Arabidopsis thaliana: one gene and its partners. The protein of the gene in region 1 interacts with the protein of each later gene in a pairwise test. Each region holds a gene or a part of one and is shown in the gene's direction. Other genes may lie near its edges. The genes, in order: RHA1A, AT1G52155, AT3G17620 and AT4G18205.

Evidence for each region.
Region 2: the proteins of RHA1A (region 1) and AT1G52155 interact in a protein complementation assay, tested with the Arabidopsis thaliana proteins (one large-scale study listed by BioGRID).
Region 3: the proteins of RHA1A (region 1) and AT3G17620 interact in a protein complementation assay, tested with the Arabidopsis thaliana proteins (one large-scale study listed by BioGRID).
Region 4: the proteins of RHA1A (region 1) and AT4G18205 interact in a protein complementation assay, tested with the Arabidopsis thaliana proteins (one large-scale study listed by BioGRID).

What each region holds. Positions count from the first base shown.
Region 1 is NC_003075.7:6,904,646-6,909,907, forward strand, and holds RHA1A (RING-H2 finger A1A), read left to right. Parts: upstream 1-2,842; 5' UTR 2,843-3,131; coding exon 3,132-3,611; 3' UTR 3,612-3,797; downstream 3,798-5,262. Other genes in the region: RHA1B (RING-H2 finger A1B), read left to right, coding at 1,421-1,894. UniProt on the Arabidopsis thaliana protein: Probable E3 ubiquitin-protein ligase that may possess E3 ubiquitin ligase activity in vitro.
Region 2 is NC_003070.9:19,414,136-19,421,205, forward strand, and holds AT1G52155 (uncharacterized protein), read left to right. Parts: upstream 1-3,298; 5' UTR 3,299-3,530; coding exon 3,531-3,668; intron 3,669-3,921; coding exon 3,922-3,998; intron 3,999-4,133; coding exon 4,134-4,362; intron 4,363-4,454; coding exon 4,455-4,609; intron 4,610-4,693; coding exon 4,694-4,739; intron 4,740-4,822; coding exon 4,823-4,914; intron 4,915-5,002; coding exon 5,003-5,099; intron 5,100-5,240; coding exon 5,241-5,297; intron 5,298-5,387; coding exon 5,388-5,456; 3' UTR 5,457-5,739; downstream 5,740-7,070. Other genes in the region: TRZ3 (tRNAse Z3), read right to left, coding at 6,776-7,070.
Region 3 is NC_003074.8:6,024,837-6,030,660, reverse strand, and holds AT3G17620 (F-box and associated interaction domains-containing protein), read left to right. Parts: upstream 1-2,966; coding exon 2,967-4,163; 3' UTR 4,164-4,215; downstream 4,216-5,824. Other genes in the region: CHX19 (cation/H+ exchanger 19), read right to left, coding at 1-90, 171-1,172, 1,263-1,460; AT3G17626 (structural constituent of ribosome), read right to left, coding at 2,167-2,286, 2,441-2,482; RBL14 (RHOMBOID-like protein 14), read right to left, coding at 4,488-5,276, 5,500-5,715.
Region 4 is NC_003075.7:10,070,665-10,076,528, forward strand, and holds AT4G18205 (Nucleotide-sugar transporter family protein), read left to right. Parts: upstream 1-3,046; 5' UTR 3,047-3,185; coding exon 3,186-3,216; intron 3,217-3,298; coding exon 3,299-4,401; 3' UTR 4,402-4,706; downstream 4,707-5,864. Other genes in the region: PUP8 (purine permease 8), read left to right, coding at 1-310; PUP7 (purine permease 7), read left to right, coding at 1,111-1,141, 1,224-2,365; AT4G18203 (uncharacterized protein), read right to left, coding at 2,080-2,256, 2,788-2,835, 2,987-2,995; PUP10 (purine permease 10), read left to right, coding at 5,511-5,541, 5,690-5,864.

The sequences.
Region 1 (5,262 bases):
ATAGTCTAGTGTTGAAGTCTTTATAACCTATTTTAAAATTTTACTTTTTGAAGTAAAATTTGTTTGTTGAACCGAAGAAGATGATTCATAAATCAGAATCACAATCTTGAAGGCCATATATAGAGGCTAAATAAGATGGTGGAGCCATCCATTACTGCAGTTCTTTCTTAGCTTACAAACTTATACTAAATCGACTAGTCTTTAACATTATTTTTTTGTTTCTCTTTTTCAATTACCGGTAAGCGATTAGCCATTACGTGGATCATATAGTAACTTATATAATATGATTACATCTTTACTTGATTCAAAATGTCTCTACTACAACAAATTCTATATTTGCAAGCTAAGGATTACAAATTTGATATCAGTTTGTTGCTAAATTTTGAAAACTCAATGTGTTGCTAAATTTTGAAAACTCAGTGTGTTGCTAAATTTTGAAGGTTCAGTGTGTTGCTAAATTTTGAAAACTCAGTGTGTTGCTAGATTTTGAAGGTTCAGTGTGTTGCTAAATTTTGAAAACTCAGTGTGTTGCTAAATTTTGAAGATTCTGCATGACAAAACTTTAAAGATATTTCTGAGAAAACAAAGTGAAACGCTCTGACATTGGATAATTCATTGTGTCTCTTTGTGCAAACCGAATATAGAACTACGACAAGATGACTTCATCACCGTTATGTCTGAATAATAAAGTACTAAAGAGTGTCTAAATGCGTGCGAATTAAAGTATGAGTGCGTCCAAATTATGGGTTTCGTACCAAAGGCCCAATATCAAAGAATGTGTATCTTTTAGTGGGAATAATAAAACGACAAAAAACAAGGATAAATTCACAACAAAAAAATGGAGATGCGGGGTATCGATCCCCGTGCCTCTCGCATGCTAAGCGAGCGCTCTACCATCTGAGCTACATCCCCATTTGCTCTTCTATATGAAATTTGAAGTATATAATATCTCATGTAAGGAGAGAATCATTCTTATGGATTCAAGATGATTTTAGTTTGGTAGGACCTATAGATTCAAGATCGTGTTCATATCTTCACTATCCACTCTTGAATCCCTGATGTCAAGATCCCAATAAATCCATCATTCGGGTATTAAATTTCTACCTAATATTAAAATTTGTTTTTTTTGTTTTGGTATATACTAAAGAAGACCCTTAACGTCACCACATTATCTATCACAGAAAATTGTATTAATATATTCTCTTTGTTTCTATACCAAGCAAAATATTTTACTATTTTACATTATACACTAAATAAGACCCACCATTGTTGATCAAATTGACTATACTTATCTTGAGCCGCCGGATTCAATTATTATAACTCCAACATCAATCTCACTATATATTATACTTGTCTCTATAATTCAACAATTCAAGCTTTATCTCTTTCTTTCTCTCCTCTCTATCTTTCTCTCACACTCATGGGTCTTCCAACAGATTTCAAAGAGCTTCAGATTCCAGGTTACGTACTAAAAACACTTTACGTCATCGGTTTCTTTAGAGACATGGTCGATGCTCTTTGTCCTTACATCGGTCTACCAAGTTTTCTTGACCACAACGAGACCTCTCGATCCGACCCGACCCGACTCGCTCTCTCCACGTCAGCAACTCTTGCCAACGAGTTAATCCCGGTGGTTCGTTTCTCCGATCTTTTAACCGATCCGGAAGATTGCTGCACGGTTTGCTTATCCGATTTTGTATCCGACGATAAGATTAGACAGCTGCCGAAGTGTGGACACGTGTTTCATCATCGTTGTTTAGACCGTTGGATCGTTGACTGTAATAAGATAACGTGCCCGATTTGTCGGAACCGGTTCTTACCGGAGGAAAAGTCCACGCCGTTTGATTGGGGTACTTCAGATTGGTTTAGAGATGAAGTGGAGAGTACCAACTAATAATGATGGTTTTACTTTTACTTTTTACTTTTTTCACGGTAATATTTTTCTACTGTATAATTCTTTCTTCCAAACTACTGTATAATTCAAGTATAAGATTATGTAATTGTGTATATTAGCATCAATCATCTTTCTTTGTTAAAGAACCGTCTGTATAAAATCTTCCAATGTAATCTGCTTTTCTTTTATTTGAATAAAAAAGTGGACAAATAAACACATCAAGTGTTATGGTATATCGCTATGTTAGGAATCTGAATTCATTTTCTTTTGAAGAAAAACAGTATTCATAATCTAATTCGTCTCTACCAAATAGAATTTGTAAACAGTTTTATACCGAAAAATATCTTAAAGAAACTCTTAATTTGTCTATTAAAATCCATGATACTATTTTTATTTGTACTTTATAAATTACAGAATGAATTAATACGTAAACTACCTTAGTCTTTGTCAAAATTGATATAAAGCAATATATTTTATTCAAAAAAAATAATAGTTTAGAAGATATTTCATCCACTATAAATCTATATGTCTTTCGACGAAAAAAACAAATTTTTGCCTTTCATAATATCTATCAAATGAATCTTTTTTATCATATTTAAATTCTTTCTGTTGTACTTTATATAACTACTACAAAATTGACATAGTTTGAATTAAAGCGGATAATCGACTTTTTAACTGATATTATTTGAGTTTTGCTTTGCTAAAATCATATACTATATTTAGGAAGAATTGTTAGAAATGCACATTTTCCATTACCACTTTTCAAAAATGTCATCTCTCTAAAACATTTATCAAAAATATCTTTAAAATCTGAAATATACCTAAATAAGTGTAACTTTATAAGAAAACTTAAACAAACTACTTTTATACGTTTGTAAAACTTTATAAATTTTTGGATGGAGTCTCTGAATAGTCGTTACCATTTTGAAGTAGTATTAAAGAACTTTTTTTTCTTTGAAAAATCCTTTAAACAGTGTTATTAAAATTCCTTGATGTCAATAGTCTTTAAACTGTGTTATTAAAATTCAACCATTCACCGTTTTGCAAAGAAAAGTATATAGAATATGTATTCTCTTTTGTTTTGACATCAATTTGGTTATACTTATCTTCAGCTGCCGGTTTGAATTGTACTCCAAACACAATTATAAATCTCACCATTTTTTATTATACACACTTTATTCTTGTCTCTATAGTTCCACATCTCAATCTAGCTCTCTTCTCTATCTTTCTCTAAATCATGGGTCTTCCTGAAGATTTCATCACCGAGCTTCAGATTCCAAGTTACATATTAAAGATACTTTACGTCATCGGTTTCTTTAGAGACATCGTCGATGCTCTTTGTCCTTACATTGGTCTACCTCGTTTTCTAGACCACAACGAGACCTCTGCACCCGATCTGACCCGACACGCTCTCTCTACGTCAGCGAGTCTTGCTAACGAGTTGATCCCGGTGGTTCGGTTCTCGGATCTTCCGACCGATCCGGAAGATTGTTGTACGGTTTGTTTGTCAGATTTTGAGTCCGACGATAAGGTTAGGCAGCTACCCAAGTGTGGACACGTGTTTCATCATTATTGTTTAGACCGTTGGATCGTTGACTACAACAAGATGAAATGTCCGGTTTGTCGGCACCGGTTCTTACCGAAAGAAAAGTACACGCAATCTGATTGGGGTTCTGGTTCAGATTGGTTTAGTGATGAAGTGGAAAGTACCAACTAATTGGTTTAATCTATGTCGGCAGAATATTTGTTGTATCAATTCCAGTATAACTCTATGTATATTAACATAGATCATCTTTTTGAAGGAACAACACTATATATATCTTTATACAAAAACAACACTATATCTAAGGATGTCAAAATGGATAACCCAACTCAACTTAACTCATAATCAAATGAGTTTAGGGTTAAATGAGTTATGGGTTGACCCAACTCATTTTGTTAAATGGGTTGGGTCAACCCATAACTTATTTAATTTGATGAGTTGAGTTGTTAAATGGGTTAACCTATTTAAATAGTAATTTAATTAATTATTATTATAAAATAATAATAAATAATTATCAATATTAATTCATTATCATCAAACTTAGGATATTTACCGATTCCACTTTTTACGGATTTACGTTTTCGACGAGAAAATCACGGGTTTACGTTTTTGGCGGAAAAATTATGGATTTACGTTTTTGGCAGGAAAATCTCGGGTTTACGTTTTTGGCGGGAAAATCTCGGGTTTACGTTTTTGGCGGAAAAATCACGGGTTTATGTTTTTTTGGTGAAAAAATTACGAGTTTACTTTTTCTCAATTTCATCGTTTGTATATTTAAGAAATTTGGAAAAATATTAATTTTATTAAATTGGTTTAGATGTGTTGATTAAACTTAAATTGACATTGGTTTAGAGATTTTAGTTGGTTTAATTCAATTTTACAAAACTTAATGGGTTAATTGGGTAAACCATTGAAACCATTAACCATTATAACCCAACTCATTTTACTCATCAAACCAATTGACTCATCAACTCATTTGACCCATCAACTCATTTGAGTCAAAATTTTCAACTCATTAAGGTTCATGGGTTGAGTTGAGTTGAGTTGACCTATGAATTTTGACCCATTTTGACACTCCTAACTATATCTATTATCATCAGATCAATGTACCGAGTTATAATTTATTTTAATATATTTTCTTGTTACAAAATTCATTAAACATATGTTTTTTTCTGATGGTTTTTAATACTATATAAACTAAAGAATGATTAAATATGTACAACTAACTAGGTATTAAAAAACGATGTTTTTTAAAAAGAAAATAATAACTAAATCAAAGACTTTTTATTTAAAACTCCATTTTATTTCAAAGATATTACATCTTTTGAAGAAATGTTTTCATTTTTGATATACGAAAAATAATAACAATTTCGGAAACATTTTATTTCGAAAGAAATAAAAATCGAAAATAATAATGATTTTTATTTATTTCATGATTATATTTATCAGTTAAATCTTTTTATCATATTAAAATTACTTCAACGTACTTCATAATATATGAATTTGTCAAAAAAAAAAAAAGTTAATAAAAAATACACATTTCTCATATAGTATATGTACATGGAAAATATGGATTAAAGCAGGATATTCGACCTTTTTACTTTTGTTATTTGTGTTTTGTTTGCTCTGTTTAAAACATATACCATATTTTAATATTTGCTTTGAGTTATTATGTCTATAATTTTTTTGAATAATCAAATCAAATTTAACGAATATTTTGCCATGTCCTACTCCTAGCTACAGAGTGTACCATTTGATAATGATAGGTAACTGATATGGAGTATATACTAAACTAAATTCCTAGTATACAAGAATCTTATTTGTT
Region 2 (7,070 bases), on another chromosome or scaffold:
CAAATCTAAGCCATCTCAAATCCTAAGCACTTGGAGTAGCTTCACAAATCACATTACCGCATAAATATCGAATTCTGTTTCCTTCAAAACACACTAGAGGCTTTTTTTCTTCATGCAATCTCAAAAGGGCACACAAAGACAAAACCTATCCTTTATATTACTCCTCGGCTTTTATGAGCTAAATACCAAAACACAAGAAAGAAAAACAGACTTTAAGATTACAACTTTCCCTTTTACAAACACCGAAAAAAGATTCGACCTTTTCTCTGAACACACACACCTAAAAAAACAAGAAAGTTACAAACTTTTTTATATTTGCTCGTGACTATAACACAGAATCACCGAGTTGACTCAGCCATTAGAAACCCCGATTCCACCTCGAAACGAAGCCATAATATTATCAGTTCTCAAACCCATATTCTCCTTCTTCGAGCTCTCATTGAAATAAAAATGAAAACTTTAGAGAAAAGAAAAACCCTAGAAATTTATTCGAAGAAGGAAAGAGGAAAGAGGAAAGTAGAAGAGAGGATGAAGAAGAGATGTATGTAGAAAACGAATCATGGAGCTACTGTACTGTTTTGTTGTTTTTAGATGTTATCTACTTTGTGTGTTTTTTTTCCTCTAGCTCGTTCATGGCAACTTTGATTTTTTTTTTTGGCCTTAAAATAATAATATTATTTTAATAATGTGATTTGATAGTGCTGTTGCGTTTGTGAAATTAGCTTTTTCGTTGGCATTTTCTTTTGTTTTTTTTTATGATTGGCACATTTCAATTTCATAAACCAACAAACAACAACACCTCGAGGGAAAACCAAATTTCTCTTGTTTACTCTACGAAAATGGTCTAAATAGGTATAATTGTCAAAAAAATTGTTCCAAAAGGTTAAAAAAAGGTTAATTAAAGCTTAAAACATTCTCAAATATATAATCAGTGAAAATTGTAAACGAGAAAAAGGCAGTCAAATTGAAGAGAAAGGCAATCAAATGCTTATACTAGTGTAATAAATTTTATTTTTTTGCTATTTGTGAAAATTACCTATTGTTATACTATAGTTTTTTTATTATACTATAGTTTTTATATTTATAAATAAAAAAATTATGGTCATGCAATTTTCTTTTTTTTTTTAATATTTGAAAATTCAGACTCAAAAACACTCGGTTAAATTCATCTTTTATGGAAAAGAGATTCATCCCAATATGTTTCGAACTCAGCACTTCCACCTAAAAGATTTATCACTGAACTAACAGCACATTGATATGGTCATGCAATTTCTTCGATCTAATCATGGAAAACAACATAGATAATGTTAACGTTTAATGTTGTAATGTTTGTGACTAATCTCTAACGGATGCTAATCTTATACTCCTACATTTATGCCCACAATATGAAATTAATGAGGTTTATACCAATAAATATTACTACTTCTAAGTTTTAACTAGTAGTAAACGAGTGGTAAAAGAGTGAATAGGAGGGTAATAAAGGTAAGAAGGAATGGGGAAGGTCAGAGGCGTATAAAAAATAACAAAAGGCGTGGGAGAGAGGTCTGCGTAGGAGACAGAGACAACATCATTACCTTCTTTGCATGCGTCTCCTCCGTCTTAAAGCTGAAGCTTCACTTTCTTTCTTTCCTTCTTTCTTTTTCTCTATTCTCAAATTTCTTTCTTTTATTTTGTCAACTCTCTTTCAAATATTTTAATTTAACTAGTACTATTCCTTCATTTTCCCAATAATGCCTGTAAAAGAATTGTATTATACTACTGATTTGAATTGTTCATCATGATGAATTCAATTCTTCTTTAAGTGGTTTCAATTCAAGTCTTAACTTTTTCAATTACCAATATATTTTCATTATAGAGTACGTACACACAAAAAAGTGTAGAATTGACTGTTTTAATTAAACGTTGGACCGCTATCTTCATATCGGGCCTAAATTCAGCCCAGTCCATTATGTATCACGGCTGTTGCAATTGGTGGACTTGTTTCATATAGGCTATATAGGTCACTGATATTCAATCTGTCCACTGATTGTTCTATTTGGAAAAATAGAATGATTAATTTCGTTTGTTTTTTTACTCATAACAAAAAAAGATTGCTATATTTGCAGGAGATTTTTCTACTGGTTATAGTTGATTGCTTGCTTCGGTTCATGCAACTGCCAAATTAGTGAAGCAATCTCTCTGCTTTTTCAAGATTTAGCTTCTGGTGTATCTACATTATGGCCTGTATACTTTGGAAGATGGATCAGATCTTTCGTCAGATGCTAAATCTTATAAAAGAAATGTTTTTCCATAGTTATGGAACGAATATCACTGTTCGGCAAGTCAGAATCAAGCGGACCCTTGACCCAAATGAAACTAGGAATAAATTCATTATTGTAGTCAAAATGGAGGTGTTCTTGTTGCTTTGCTTCAAGATCCTTTTCTCTAATGATCTCAAAGCTCGTCGACTTGATGATCTGATGTTAGGTGTTTAGACTTAGAGGTTTAGCATAGCTGAGATTTAACATCAAATGTTATTCTGATCAAATTAACATTGTTAATTGTTATGGGAAAAAAAGACATTTGTTAAATGTAGATTGTAGTAAACCTAAATGGATAATGTTGATTACATATAAACATTCTTAAGAAATAGTGACATGCTTGCATCTTTCCCTACGTGAATCTTTCTCTCTGCCCGTTATATATTTTAATCTTCTTGCAGATACTTGTCCGAATATATATCATCAACCTACAATTTTTTTATTTTACATATGCCACGAAATTGATGTTTTGACTTTAATTTGATTTGTAGTGTCTTCCACGTTCCTTTTTTTCTATAACAACCAAAATAAGCATATGATTTAAGTGGTAAACTGCACCACGAAATTATAGCAACGAACTACATAGATAATACATAACATATAAAATATCAAAATCAAGAAAAAGTCACAACGACCAACAAAATTACATAAATTAAAAAAAAGGGTATTGGTGATCAAAACTCAACGACAAAAAGGAGAGAGTGGGTTAGTTGAATGACCATTTTGTTCGCATGTCTGCTCTCTCTTCTCCACCTTCTTTTTATGCTCCCCTATTCTCCCGACGACTCAAAAGTTCAAAACAATAAACACCACATTTATTTATTATTAATTATACAAAACAAACTAAAATTAATTAGTTTATGATTTAAAGTTTATTCAGGATAATTTATTAAAAATTTAATAGCAATTTTTATTATATAGAAAACAGAAAAATGATACAAATATTCGGATTATTTTATGAGTATACAAATTTTAGTTGCATTAAATGAAACTAAGCAATTAGTTGGAGATATTAGTGGAATTGATCTAAGGGCAGTTAAGTCTCAATTAATTGGTTTATCCAAAAAACCAAGATTAATTAGTGCAAAAGACAAGTGTCAATAGTACAGAGATTCATAAATAGAATTAGAAACCCCAACAAAAATGTGAAGCTTCCAAAAAAAAAGTAAGTATCAAAAAAACAGAATTTTGTCTTCGTTCTTCTCTGAGATTAAAGCTTTCTCTTTTGTAATGGAAGAATCTCAGGGCATCAATGGCGTCGATGATTCATATCGTCATCTCCCAATTCTCTACTTAACCTTTTTAACGATCTGGTCTTTCTCCGCTTGTTCTTGGACGGTTAACACTTTCAAAAATCGCCACTTTCAGGTCAATAAATCTCCTATTTTTTCTCTATCTTATTTCGATAAATTTTGGATTTTTCACTCTTGGGTTTATGAAACTTCTTCTCAAATTCCAAATATTACTCAAAATTTAATCAATTTTTTTTGCAGAATGGTACTTGGGATTTATTGTTTTAATCATGAATTCAGACGATTCTGTTTTTGATTTGTCTCTTTTATGTTTTTCATTAAGGAAGAAACACAATTTGATTTTGGTTCTGTGTTTTTGTTTAGAGCAGACAAATAGTTTACAATGGACTCTTGCTTCAGTTCCATTAATCAAAGCCTTACAGCTCACACTATCTTTCCTCTTTTGGTAAGTCCTCTTTGTGAAGTTATTGTTTCCATTAATGTTACCTTGTCATATTGAGAAATTATTTCTCAGTAACCTTTTTATCGAAAGATCGTTTTCGAAGTCTCTATAGTTGATTAATCTGTTATTTGGTGGCAGGCATTCATGTTTTCACCATCACATTTGCTCTCTATGGATGTCTTTTGGTGTATATGTGACTGGTGTTCTGTTTCAGACAGCTTCATTTGTGTCTTTTTTACTTATCTCTCACGGTTATTGCATCACTTGTGAACGGCTCTCGTTGACCGAACGTAGAACTACAGCTTCACTTGGTTGTGTCTTTTATTTGACTCTTGTTGGATACAGAGCTTCTGTTCCTTATTTTGCAGTGAGTTTTTACCTTTTTCACCTACTCATTAAAGCTAATCTTTTACTTACTTACAAGATGATGAATGAACCAATCTTTTTTTGCTCCTCCAGGTGCTTCTGATACTTAACTACATGATCTCATTCTATGTTATATTCCATCACATATCGCAAAATCTAGCGGTGTTACGAGAACAGCTGAGTTTTATCGAAGATGAGAATGTTCAAGCTATGCATGATGCTGTATATGCTAAATACATCATGTTCAAGTACGTTTTTCATTACCCTCAGGTTTGATGGTTGATGGAAGTAGATAATCTGCTAAGAGTTTTTATTTATGTTTATGGTTTCAGAAAATTCCAAGGAGCTATGCAGATTGTAGCAATGGCAGAAACTGTGGTATGACCAAATCTTTCTTGATTGACATCATGTTGAATTTACTGCTACATTGTTTATACTCACACTCACTTTAAATTATGCAGATCTACATGAACATGGATAACTCCTCACAAAACTATTGGCTCAGGCTACTAATTCGAGAATGGGCTCAGTTCTGCATTTTTCTCTATATTGGGTAAGTTATGATCCCACTTTTCAAGTACATTTCGCTGTTCTTGCTTTGGTCAAGAACTAACAATGCTCCAAACTATATACTTTGGCAGTTGGACTTTCAGGTCTCAGGATATGGCACCGCGTTTCTCGGTAATGCCTACACTAAAACCGAAAGAGAATACAATTATTCCTCCGATTTATAGCATGGTAAGTGACATAATGTAAACTTCCTTTTGCCTTGTAATATCTTGCATTAACCAAAACATAAAGCTTATTTTGCTTTGCTTATATGTGTTTTGGTTTTGAGTAATGTTCTACTTATGCTAAATCTATATACCAAAATATCAGGAAATGGACGCAAAATCTTTCAAAGAATTCAGAAGTCAAGAATGGAACATCGGAGTGGTAAGTCATTTCATTTATGCTCTTGTTCCATTGGATCATCAAGCCAGAGTTTTATGTAAACTCATTCTGTGTTTAAATCTCTTTTCGCAGCCAATGCCATATTCAAACTACGAAAAGCAAAAAGATTCAGTTCTAGTGATAATTCAGCATCCGCGATAGCATTTAGAGAGAAGCAAAAGATACAATGTTTTCCTCTATCCATCTTCCTAAAGAGAGTGAAAGATCACCAAAATTGACAAAGTTTCTCTCTGATTAAGACAAGATGCTTCCTCAGCAACTACCTTTCTCTCTTTCCATTTACATTTTGGGGTTTCTTATCTTATAGAGGAATAAAATTTGTATAGATGCAAAAACTAGTTCTAGTATAATGCTTCAAATGAAAATGTAAACACAAATCTTTCATCTTTTTCTTCACAAAATGAAACAAAAGAAACATTTAGAGAAAGCAACTCCAAATCCTTTTAAGAAAAAATCTCTCTTCTCCACATACTCTACATATCCATGCCCAGTTTTTAGTTTGTGTTCTTGAATTAGTCAATCTATGTTATTGAAAGGATTACTACGTTGTGGTATTTAGGATTTTGGTTAGTTAAGGATTGGCCAAATCAAGAACACAAACTAGAGATTTAGTGGATTAAATTGAGTGTATGGATCAATCCAAACCAATCTAATCCATGGGTTAATTGAGTGGAGAATTTGGATCTTAATGGATAATGGGTTAATGGGTTTAATGAATTGGATTGATATGGGTTAGATTAGAATGGATTAGTGGGTTACTATAACCAAACCAATGGAAAGTAAACAATCTAAATCAAATGTGTAAACCAAAGATAACCGAATCAAATGTCTAAACCGATTTAAATAAACCGAAGTAAACATGATTTAACTATTAAAACCATGAAATTAATTTTACCGCATTTTTCCGCTAAAAACATAATTTCGTAATTTCCGCCAAAACATAATTCCGTATTTTTTTTGGGTCAAAAACGTGATTCAGTATTTGATAGCTATTTAGATTATAGAAAAACTATAAACTGGACAAACTCATTTAATCCATTAGTCGAAGATGATGACTTGTTATTTTTTTTATTTTACTTTTTACTAATCATAAATTCAGAATTAAATTCATAAATTAATTAAATTTAAATTAAATTTAAAAATTCATATTAAAAAACTTAAATTAATTGTTTTATCATTTTTCGTGGCGGTGCAAACATGAAAACTAGTTTGGAGATTTAAAGTGTTAGCAAAATTATTTTGGTGGTTCATAATATTAATGAAATTCTTTCTGGGTTTAAAGCGCTACCAATAACACTTTGAAGGTAAAAATATGATTTTCCCGAAAAACAATTGCTAAATTAACACAATTAATATGTCAAAACTATAGCCCAAATTTCAAAATTTTCCATTTTACTTTTCTTTCAACCACAAGAGAGCAAACGAACAATAATGAAGATCTATTGCACTGTTTTAAGTCATCACAAAGCTTCTTCCTTTAAGTCATCCATGGCAACATCATCTGCATCCTCATCTTCAACCATCTCATCTCTGAAAAGAGTTTTGAAATACGGCAAAACCTTAGGAAGCACATGCAAATCCGCCATGTTTATACTCATCAGATCAAAGGCAATGCAGGTATTATGCATATGCGACTCATCAATCACTGGAATCTTCGGATATCTCTGGCTAAAATGTGTGAGAACAATCCGATACACATTCGCCGCAGATCCCACATCGATTGCTTCTTTAGTCGTGCTGTGATTCTTCGCCAAA
Region 3 (5,824 bases), on another chromosome or scaffold:
CTTGTAAATAAGCATCACAATTGGAGTTGTGATGAAGGTTGTGAACAATGCCATTAGGACTAAGATCGCAAATGCTTGATCATTCAGCACCTGCTCACAAAAATCGTTATTTAGATAACTCGGCTTTTAAATGTTTTATAAGTCTTATTATGGCTTTCAAGAATCTATACCTTCCGGTCCTTGCCAATGTTAAGAACAATGAGCTCTACTAAACCTTTGGTATTCATAAGGAATCCAAGTGTCACGGCTTCTCTGAAAGGAACCTTGCAGAGCATCGAGGAACCAACTGTTCCTACAATCTTCCCGAAACAAGTGGTGAGAATGACAAGAACTAGAAGTCCCCATGACTGTGCTCCCCTGATCGTTGTTACATCAGTTTTGAGACCGCTAGCCGCAAAATACAGAGGTAGAAGAAGCCCCGAAACAAGATCCTCTATCTTCTCAGTCAAAATCCTGCAAAATGGTCCTTCTTTAGGAGCTACTATACCTACCACAAACGCCCCGAACAGCGCGTGTATCCCAATAGTGTCTGTCACAAAGCTTGCTGCTAAAACCACGGTTAGAGTGACACAAACATAGAGTTCCTTTACAGGCTCTCCCTCAGGACAGCGTCTAGCCATATAAGCAAGCAGAGGTTTGATTGCCACAACTGCAAAGATCACGAATCCAGTTCCACAGAGAAGAACCCAAACAGATACAAGAGGAGAAGTCCCATCTCCTGAGAGAGCAATAGCAAGCGCAAGGAGTATCCAAGCTGCAACATCGTTTACTCCCGCTGCAGACATTGCCATACGTCCAATGTCAGTTGTTAGAAGCTTTAGCTCAGCTAGTATACGAGCAAGCACAGGGAAGGCAGTGATTGATAAGGCAACACCCATGAAGACAATAAAAGGAAGCTGATCGACTCCTTTGCTTATGGTGGCACTGAGAACAAAAGATGTGCCTACACCCACTATAAAAGGAAGTGAGATCCCAGCTATGGCTATCAATAGTGATTTCTTTCCAGTTTTTTTTATTGCTGCAAAGTCAAGCTCAAGCCCAACTAGGAACAAGAAAAACAGAAGACCAATGTTGGCGAGTGTGTCTAAAACGGTCAAGCTCTTCTTTGGGAAGATGGTGTCAAGATAGGCCTTGCTTCTCCCTAGTGCAGAAGGTCCAAGCAGTATCCCTCCCTACAGAACCATCCCTTTTAGTCTCTTTTGCTATGTGATTTCATCAAAACAGAAAAAGAAAAATACAAAGAGATTGAGTAGGAAACTCACAATGATCTCAGCAATGACTCGGGGCTGTTTGAGAGGCTTAAGAAAGTAAGCTAAGAGCCTTGTAAACACAACCACCAAGACGATTTGTAGGATGATAAGAGGAAGCGCGAAATCAAGAGGGCTTTCGTTTTGGAAGGCTCCATTGGAGGTAGCCTTCATTGGACCCGGGCATTGCCCTGTAACGTTGGTGCTTGCCATCCTAGTGGAGATCTACTTACAGGTTGATGATTGGTCAAGAAACGAGATACTGCTTCACCCTTCAATACTGCCTTGGCTGCTCCCTCATTGCATTGCCAAACGAAGTATGAGACCTGAATGGGAGGAAAAAAAAGAAATCAAGATTTTATTCTGTTCTGTTACTGTTTTTATTAAACAGAATCTACATTAAAGAAGTGAGTATATAAAAGGAAAAAACAGAAAACTAATAACGTCTATAGTTTGCTAATAATAGGTAGATGAGATAGAAGCGGACATACCAACTCCAGGGTGGGCATATACCTCGCACTTTTCTATTTATAGACTATCAGTTACTTAACTTCCAACCATATCGCATCTATACTTCGCAGATATGAACTGCCTTCACTGCGCCGAAGTTTTCGTCTCTGTCTTTGTCCTTCTGTCCTAAATTTGCAAGCACTTGTACCTGTCTCTTAACTAAGCAGCACATTTGATGTCTTACCTTCTGAAGCTTTGTAAACATCAACCATTTTCAAATATATTATCATCGTATAGACGATATAAACATTCTTGAGATGCATAAGTAGTAAGAACAAATGAACACATTAAAAAGGAAGAAGTTAACACTGTTCCAAGCCGACTAATCTAAATTTCAATCATGGGTTCTATACAAGCAAATTTCTGAGAAGGACAAAACAAAAAAAGACTTAAAATTGGAGACCGTGTTCTATTTGCTGAAGCAGCTAAAGCCATGGTAAGTGTAAATTGCACGGTCAAAGGCCACCTTTGTGATCCCATTCTCTACGCAGGATTTTTCTATAACTTCTCCAACTTTCTTAGCCATTTCCTAATCAATTCCAAGAAGAATCAAAGTTAGACAGTGTCCAAGAGAAAAACAATTGAAGCTAAGGGTCTCATGCTAAAACTTGAAAGGTTTCGGCTAGAGAATTTTGTAGATAGATTGTAGTTGAATTCAAAGCAGGTGGTAGTGAAGAACTCACAATGGTAGAACCAGTGAGCAAAAGATACAGAGCCTTGGCCATGGTCTGAGAATTGAAGGAGCTTTAAGCCACCGTACTGAATTGGAATCGGCGTCGAGGCTGTTCTCAGCGAGCTCAGACGCTGGATTACATCACCCTCTATATTTTGTAGGTTTCGAATCTTCGGTGGCTCTCTCGGTTCAATCGCCGCAGTCGGAGAGGAGAGTCTTCCTCCTCCATCTCCACCGCAAGAAGCGACCGTCGATCATCTCCCCCGCCATATACAAATGAGAATCACTAAAAAGTTTTTAACTACAGTTGGGCTAAAAGCCCAATAATAAAGCCCATAAATGAAACGACATCACAGTCATATAAATAAGAGTTCAAAAAGATGAATAATTCCGGGAAATTTTTAGAGGGCAGAGTTGTGTTTCGGCCCAGCTTGAGTTAGGGTTCCTGTGGGGAAACATGAGAGCTTTTTACTGAAGTTTCAAACCTAACTAATTTGTGTTACATCGATCCTTGTTCAAATTTGAAAGATTTGAAGATGATGTCCGATCTTCCAAGAGATTTGTTGGAGGAGAGACTCTCTAGGGTTCCGGTGAAATCATTGAGAGAAGCGCGATTTACCTGCAAAAATTGGAAAACATTATCCAAAAAGCGGAGCTTTACAAAGAAGCACCTTGCTCAGGAAGCAACATCAAGGGAAAGTGAGTTTAAGGTTGTCATGGTCTTGCATTGTAAGGTTTATCTAACGAGCATCAACCTCCGTGGAATTCACAACGGCTTTGACCCGTCTATAAACCGTCAAGCTAAACTTGTTAGCCTAAACGGTACAGATCAGATCGATATATCTGAAGTATATCACTGCGACGGTTTACTGTTATGTATCTCGAAAGACTACACTAGGGTCGTGGTTTGGAATCCGTATAGGAGCCAAACTTTGTGGCTCAAACCCAGTAGTCCTGACCATAGAATGGACTGGTATATCTGTGCTATAGGATACGAGAAGCGTAAATCAAGCCTACGCTACAAAGTTTTGCGATTCGTTGATTTTGCCGAAGAAGAATTTGTTGAGTACGAAATATACGAGTTAAAGTCTAATTCATGGAGGGTTCTCGATGTCACTTCCGACTGGGAAGTAGAGTTTTATGCACGAGGTGTCTCTCTCAAGGGAAATACTTATTGGTTTGCTACAGACAAGTTTCCAGAAATCAGCAGTAATCTTATACATAGTGTTTATTTCTTGCTCTGTTTTAATTTTACATCGGAGAGATTTGGGCCGCGTCTTCATTTGCCGTGTTACCCTATGGATGTAGATACTGTGAGTCTTTCTAGTGTTAGAGAAGAGCAACTTGCTGTGTTATTTCAGCGTAAGGACAACTTACATATGGAGATTTGGGTTACGACTAAGATTGAACCTGAAGAGGTGATGTGGAGCAAGTTGTTCTTAGCAGTGGATATGCAACCACTCACTGATTTTAAGTTTGGAATTGCAGATGCGAGTTTCATCATTGACGAAGAGAAGAAAGTTGTTGTAGTCTTTGCTAAAGACAAAGATGTAATGTATCCCACTCACAACACAGCTTACATCATTGGAGAGGATGGATATTACAAAGAAGTGGATCTCGGAAAAACTACTGATAAAATTCGAGATCCACTTGTGTGCTCGTATGTTCCAAGCTCAGCGCAAATCAAGCAAGGAGGCAAAAGGAAGAAAAAAGGGAAATTGATTACTGATTAACATTTATATCTTGCTTTGTGATCTTCTTCTTTCAACAAAATTTGGTTTGAAATAGGATAAAATTTTGTTAAAATCGAAAGTCTGTGAAACTGTAAGTTTGGTGTGAAGATACTATATTATCTGAATCACTCGCTACTTTCAGCAATCTAATCAAAGGACCAGTTCACGTAGAACCAAATCTTCAACAACAAAAGAGAAGACAAATTGAAGAAACAGATCGAAAAACACGACCACTAACTCTGCTATTCATAAGCTAATGCAATGAATGATTCAACAAAGCTTCATTCACAATCCTTCCTCAGCTTTAAGAATGCGCTCCCGAGATCAACTAAACCTCTCTACTCTTCGACGGCGCAGCTCATCTAAAGGGAGATCATTAGAAGAAGAAAGTGCTGGTCCCTGATTCAGTGACCATCCATTTCCTCTAGCCCGTCCCGAGCCACACATCTCGCAAGCACTTAACCAACCAGAATTGTCATATGTACACGACTGACATCTCCAAATACCAGGTCCTGCTATCCCAGTCTGACCTCTTCCCACTCTTCCTCTCCCCGTAATCCTCCTTCTCCGAGACCTAACCATACCATTCAGAAACCTCAAGGGCCACGTCACCAATCGAGATACACCTCTAACCGCCATAGTGACTGGATCTGAGCCTGAGTAAGAACCTTTCAGCTTCAAATAGATAATACCAGCAAGGATTCCACCCAAATGCCCAAGAAACGAAGCGTTAGGTACAAACATCTGCACTAGAATCAATTCTGCCCAAGCAGCATACTTTGTTGGAACCAAGATACCATACACACTTGAGTAATCCTCAGCTTGAGAATTAAGAACAACTTTCATAGCAAAGAGAACACCCGAGAACCCAACCGCATACTCGTTGTAGTAAGCTCTGTCATAGTCAAACAAGAGAAGAAGCGATTTGGCTAACAACAATGTGACTCCTTGAGACATACCAATAAGAGTAAAGACCATTGAAGCAAACTCACTGCTTCCCATTGATGTCTCAAGCTTGATACCTTTCCAGAGAAGTGACATCATGTTATAGACTAAGTGAGGCTCGTTAACATGGTAGAACGCTGATAGAAATAAACGCTTCAAGTCCTTATGCTGTTCAACAAATACACATCAAGATTAAAAAAAAAAACTTTAACAGAGAATAGAATTAATCAATCAAGAATGATCTAATTAGATATCGAAGAACAAAATCCCTAATTCTCCAGATATTGGTACAAATTTCCCAGGAAACTCAAATTCGAATTTCAGATCGAAATCGGTCAAATTGCAATCAATTTCTCTTGGCGAATGAAGGAATTTATTAAGATTGGTTTACCTTGAAGATGAGGTGAGGATTGAACCAGACCTCACTGATGTGAGGAATAACGGGATCGATAAACGCCGGCCTGAGATAAACGAGAGTGTTCGCGGCCAGGAGACTCGCCGTCACCGGTGGTTTCCACGGTAGTCTATAGTACTCCGCGACGGCGCTTAGAGCCAGCAACGGCAACATTCCGCCTCCACTTCTTCTCCCTTCACCAAAATTCTCCATTTCTTCGTAATTATTCTTTTCTTCTGATCTCTCTGAATCACTTACAAGTAATTAAAATCTCATCTCTTTCACAATATTTATATAGCAGCAGCTTGGTCTCTACGAAAAC
Region 4 (5,864 bases), 3.2 Mb from region 1:
GATAGCTATTTCCTGGCAAGTCTACACCATTGGCGTCGTGGGACTGATCTTTGAGTCATCTTCTGTGTTCTCCAATTCCATAACTGCTGTGGGATTGCCTATAGTTCCAGTTGTAGCAGTGATTGTTTTCCATGATAAAATGAACGCGTCAAAGATCTTCTCCATCATTTTAGCTATCTGGGGATTCATTTCATTTGTCTATCAGCACTACCTCGACGAAAAGAAGTTGAAGACTAGCCACACAAGTCCTGTAGGAGATCCTCATCTACTACCTGCTGAGGAAGGTCACACAAACATACATAGTGTATGATCAAAACATATTTCCAGTGTAAAGCCAATGTATCTTTGTACAGTTTGAGCATAGATATAAAAACGTGTATCTCTAGTCAATCATAAGTAACTGATAAGTTTTGTACATAAGATACCAATAGTTCGGATCTTTTTTACTTCTATATACCGGAGATACCCATAACTTAAAGATGCAAATGCAATACTCTGCTTTGTCATTTTGCAATGCATTTGAATCACCAAAAAACAAGAGCAAACATCGATAGCAGAGAGGCAAATAGGCTAAAGCATCCTTGGAAAACCAGAGCTTTGAACAAAAAAAAAGAAACAAGTGAACAAAAATAATACCCACTTACCTGGAAGCCACTGACATAACAAATAACCAATGTAGTGACTTGAACAGTGCCTTGTAAAAAGACTCCTTAAAATACCAAAAACGTATACTCCAGGAGCTTGGATTCTTGTATCTTTGTTGACTTCTGATTAAACGTCAGTAGACACTGAGAAAATAAAAAAAATTCTCGTAGAGCCGCCATTCAAAAGTTTCAAGAATTCCACAAGTCAAGTGTAAGCAAATAAGAAAAGTCACCGGTCAACATGAGACTACTAAATAATGATACTGCTACTGTCATCTATCGCCTGCCCCATCCATATAATACGATTTACTAAAAGCCTGCCATGTTTGATAATGCAACTTGTGTAGGGTATTTAGATGTTTTTTTGTAATACCATCAATGTGTGTTTAAAGAAAGGCCTCTTGTGTATCTGCACGACATCTCAAACAAAACCAATCAATAAAAACAAGAAACAATCTTCTTTCTCATGGACAGATCTCAAGAACACTATGCCAATGGTAAGAAGAAGCACCTGATAAAGTTAGATCCTTGAATTCATTTTTTCATGAGATATAATAAACATGAGTGTTAATTTTTCAGGTGACCAGAACTTAGAAGCAAACCTTATAGATCATGAGGTGGTAACTGAATCATCATCATCAGCTGTGCCTCAAACCGAGAACTATAAAAGGTGGCTTCGTGTCTCCATATACGTAATCTTTGTCCTCTTTTGCCAGCCACTAGCTACAATTCTGGGTAGATTGTACTATGAAAATGGAGGAAATAGCACATATGTGGTAACACTTCTTCAACTCATTGGCTTCCCTGTACTGGTTCTGTTCCGCTTCTTTTCTCGAATCAGGCAACCCAAATCAACAGATACAAATTTCAGTCAGTCCCCTTCCTTCACCACCCTTGCATCGGTTTACTTGTGCACTGGACTGCTAGTGTCCGCTTATGCTTATTTGTCTGCAGTAGGGTTGCTCTACTTACCAGTCTCTACTTTCTCCCTCATCTTGGCCTCACAGTTGGCCTTCACTGCCTTTTTCTCATATTTCCTTAACTCGCAAAAGTTCACTCCTTTGATAGTCAGTTCTTTGCTTCTCCTCACTGTATCCTCTGCTCTTCTTGTGGTCAACACTGATTCAGAAAACTCAACTAATGTATCTAGAGTACAGTATGTGATCGGGTTCATATGTACCATCGGTGCTTCCGCTGGGATTGGACTGTTACTATCTCTGATACAAATGCTCTTCAGGAAAGTTTTCACGAAGCATACATCCTCAGCAGTCACGGACTTGGCCATTTACCAGTCTCTAGTTGCGAGTTGTGTAGTTCTCATAGGACTTTTTGCAAGTGGAGAGTGGGAAACTTTGCCAAGTGAGATGAGAAACTACAAACTCGGGAAAGTGTCATATGTTTTGACTTTAGCCTCGGCAGCTATTTCCTGGCAAGTCTACACTCTTGGTCTTGTGGGATTGATCTTCGAGTCATCCTCTGTGTTCTCCAATTCCATAACAGCTGTGGGATTGCCTATAGTTCCAGTTGCGGCAGTGATAGTTTTCCATGATAGAATGGACGCATCAAAAATCTTCTCCATTATTTTAGCTATCTGCGGCTTCCTTTCATTCGTCTATCAGCACTACCTCGACGAAAAGAAGTTGAATACTAGCCACACAAGTGCTGTAGGAGATCTTCATCTACCTGTTGAGGAAGGTCACACAAACATACAAAGTGTGTGATCAAAGCATATTTCCAGTATAAAGCCAATGTATCTTTCTTTTTTTCCCCTCAAAGGCCAAAGCCAATGTATCTTTGTACAGTTTGAGCATAAAAAACGTGTAACGCTACTTTGCAAACTAGTCAGTCATAATAGCTAATAAGTTTTGTACATATGATACCAATAATTTCAGAATATTTTTCTTCTATATATACCAATAAGTTTTCTTAAAGATGCAAATGCAATACTCTGCTTTGTAATTTTGCAATGCATTTGAAACACCGAATCAAGAGCAAACAACGAAGTCAGAGAGACAAATAGGCTAAAACAGAGCTTTGAGCAAAAAAAAAAAACAAGTGAACAGATATAATACCCACTTACTTGGAAGCCACTGACATAACAGATAAACAATGTAGTGACTTGCAACAAAACTCCTTAAAATACCAAAAACGTATACTCTAGGAGCTTGGCTTCTTGTATCTTTGTTGACTTCTGATTTAACGTCAATAGACACTGAGGAAAAAGAGTTCTCTTAGAGCCGCCATTCAAAAGTTTTAAGAATTTTAAGTCAAGTGTAAGCAAATAAGAAAGGTCAATGGTCAGCATGAGACTACTAAATTATGATACTGCTGTCATCTATCACCTGACCCATCTTTATTATTATACACAAATTAGTAAAAGTCTGCCAAGTTTGATTAGTGCAACTTGTATCTGGGGTATTTAGTTACTATAATAAATATCATTTTGTGTATAAAGAAAGGTCTCTTCTGTATCTAAAAGACATATCAAACGAAAGAAATCAATAAACACAATATTCTTTCTTCCAAATTTTCTCATTTCTCATGGGCATATCTCAAGTACACTATTGCAATGGTAAGCAAAAGGTACCTGATGACGTTAGATCATTTGATCCTCTTTCGATGAAATATAATAACCACGAGTGTTAATTTTTCAGGTGACCAGAACTTAGAAGCAAACCTTCTAGATCATGAGGAAACTGAATCATTTTCAGTACCTCAAACGAAGAACTGTAAGAGGTGGCTCCGTGTCTCCATATACGCAATCTTTGTCATCTTCTGCCAACCACTTGCTACAGTTCTGGGTAGACTGTACTATGAAAATGGAGGGAAAAGCACATATGTGGTAACACTTCTTCAACTCATTGGCTTCCCTGTACTGATTCTCTTCCGCTTCTTTTCTCGAATCAGGCAACCCAAATCAACAGATACAAATTTCAGTCAGTCCCCTTCCTTCACCACCCTTGCATCGGTTTACTTGTGCACTGGACTGCTAGTGTCTGCTTATGCTTATTTGTCTGCAGTTGGGTTGCTTTACTTACCAGTCTCTACTTTCTCCCTCATCTTGGCCTCACAGTTGGCCTTCACTGCCTTTTTCTCATATTTCCTTAACTCGCAAAAGTTCACTCCTTTGATAGTCAATTCTTTGTTTCTCCTTACGGTTTCCTCTGCCCTCCTCGTGGTCAACACTGATTCAGAAAACACAACAAATGTATCTAGAGTACAATATGTGATTGGGTTCATCTGTACCATTGGTGCTTCCGCTGGGATTGGATTGGTACTATCTCTGATACAACTGCTCTTCAGGAAAGTTTTCACGAAGCATACATCCTCAGCAGTCCTGGACTTGGCCAATTACCAGTCTCTAGTTGCAACTTGTGTGGTACTCATAGGACTGTTTGCAAGTGGAGAGTGGAGAACTCTGCCAAGTGAGATGAGAAACTACAAACTGGGGAAAGTGTCATATATCTTGACTTTGGCCTCAGCAGCTATTTTCTGGCAAGTATACACTGTTGGTTGTGTGGGATTAATCTTCGAGTCTTCTTCTGTGTTCTCCAATTCCATAACTGCTGTGGGACTGCCTATAGTTCCAGTTGTAGCAGTGATAGTTTTCCATGATAAGATGGATGCATCAAAGATTTTCTCCATCATTTTAGCTATCTGGGGCTTCCTTTCATTTGTCTATCAGCACTACCTCGACGAAAAGAAGTTGAAGACTTGCCAGACAAAACCTGTTGAGGAAGAAACACAAACTTTATGAAACAAGTTGTATCGAAGGTCTCAGAAACAAACATACATAGTTGTACACAGTCATGTAAATAACCTATATAAAGCTTGTATGTGTAATATCCGTAATGGTCCATGCAAATGGGATATGTATGTCGCTCATATTTCAGGTATTTAGAACTTTTATTCAAAAGAGTATTGTGTAATACGAGCAGAGTGATAAAAGCAGTCATTTATTTAACAGAAAAACCATGTCAATTTTGTGATACTTTCATTGTGTGAGTGTGAAACCCGATAAAAATTGACCAGTTAGCATAACTTACAGATATGTCAATGCAATATTCTCCTTTCTAGTTTTGAAATGCACCTAAATCTTGGGAAACAAGAACAAACAGCAAATCATGTATAATGAGAGATAGAAGATAATTTGTCAGATTGGTCCAACATCCTTGGGGAAACAGAGCTTTGAACAAAAAGTAAATGACCAGAAATAATACCATTTTATATAGCGACTTCCTCTGCCGTCCAGTATTAAGTTGTTGCGAATGTCTTCTCTTGAAAAGATAGGCGAGACATAATCTTTAGCTAACGTCAGCATCATCTTGATGGCAAAAACTTCATGACTAGCCATGGAAACCGAAGTGTGTACCCAATCCAAATAAATTTAAAAAGACAAATAACTTTTAGAAATGTCGTCCTCATCAAGATCACAGAATACTACAACTTGTGTACACGTTCATACATATGCGTATGCGTGTTAAGTTTCTATTTGTCTATGCGTATGGGGTTCATGTCCTCCACATAGTTGCAGAAGAAAGTCTGAATGAATATTGCCTACACATAATTTCCTCCTAGACTTAACTCATCTCTTGGTCAACAATAGAGGCATCTTTGCATGTAGAAAGACTACAGATACTAAATTCATGGAAAGAGAAGAGATATGGTTGGCATTTACTGAATGTGGGGCCAAGAACAAAGAAAACTTAGACGGTGACCGATTCCTAATCCCAGAATATATAACTTAGCATATCTCACCCATATCAAAGGAGCAATCACTTGGTAGCATTATCAACCAAGAGAATTGATAATAAGATACGTTAGTTCCTCCTTGTCCATCTCCAAGGTGGTGATTCCACATCCACCATGACGGCGGATCAAGAACTACAAATCATTGGTGAGTAAGCATAAACCAGTTTGTGGTGAACGTCCTATTCTTTCATCTTCAAAAAAAAAAAAGATGGTTATGATATTTTATAATTCAATATATGAAACGATCGACAACAAATAAACTAATTTTTGCGTTATTTTCACTCACTTACCAGTTCGGCAGGGAAAAGAACCAAATCCAACAGTTCAAGATGAAAGAAATTCAGTCAGTAGCAGCCAAGCAGAAGTATCTCACTCTAACACATACAAACGGTGGCTCAGGGTGACTTTATATACATTCTTTGTCATTTCAGGCCAAACAGTTGCTACAATTTTGGGCAGAGTATACTA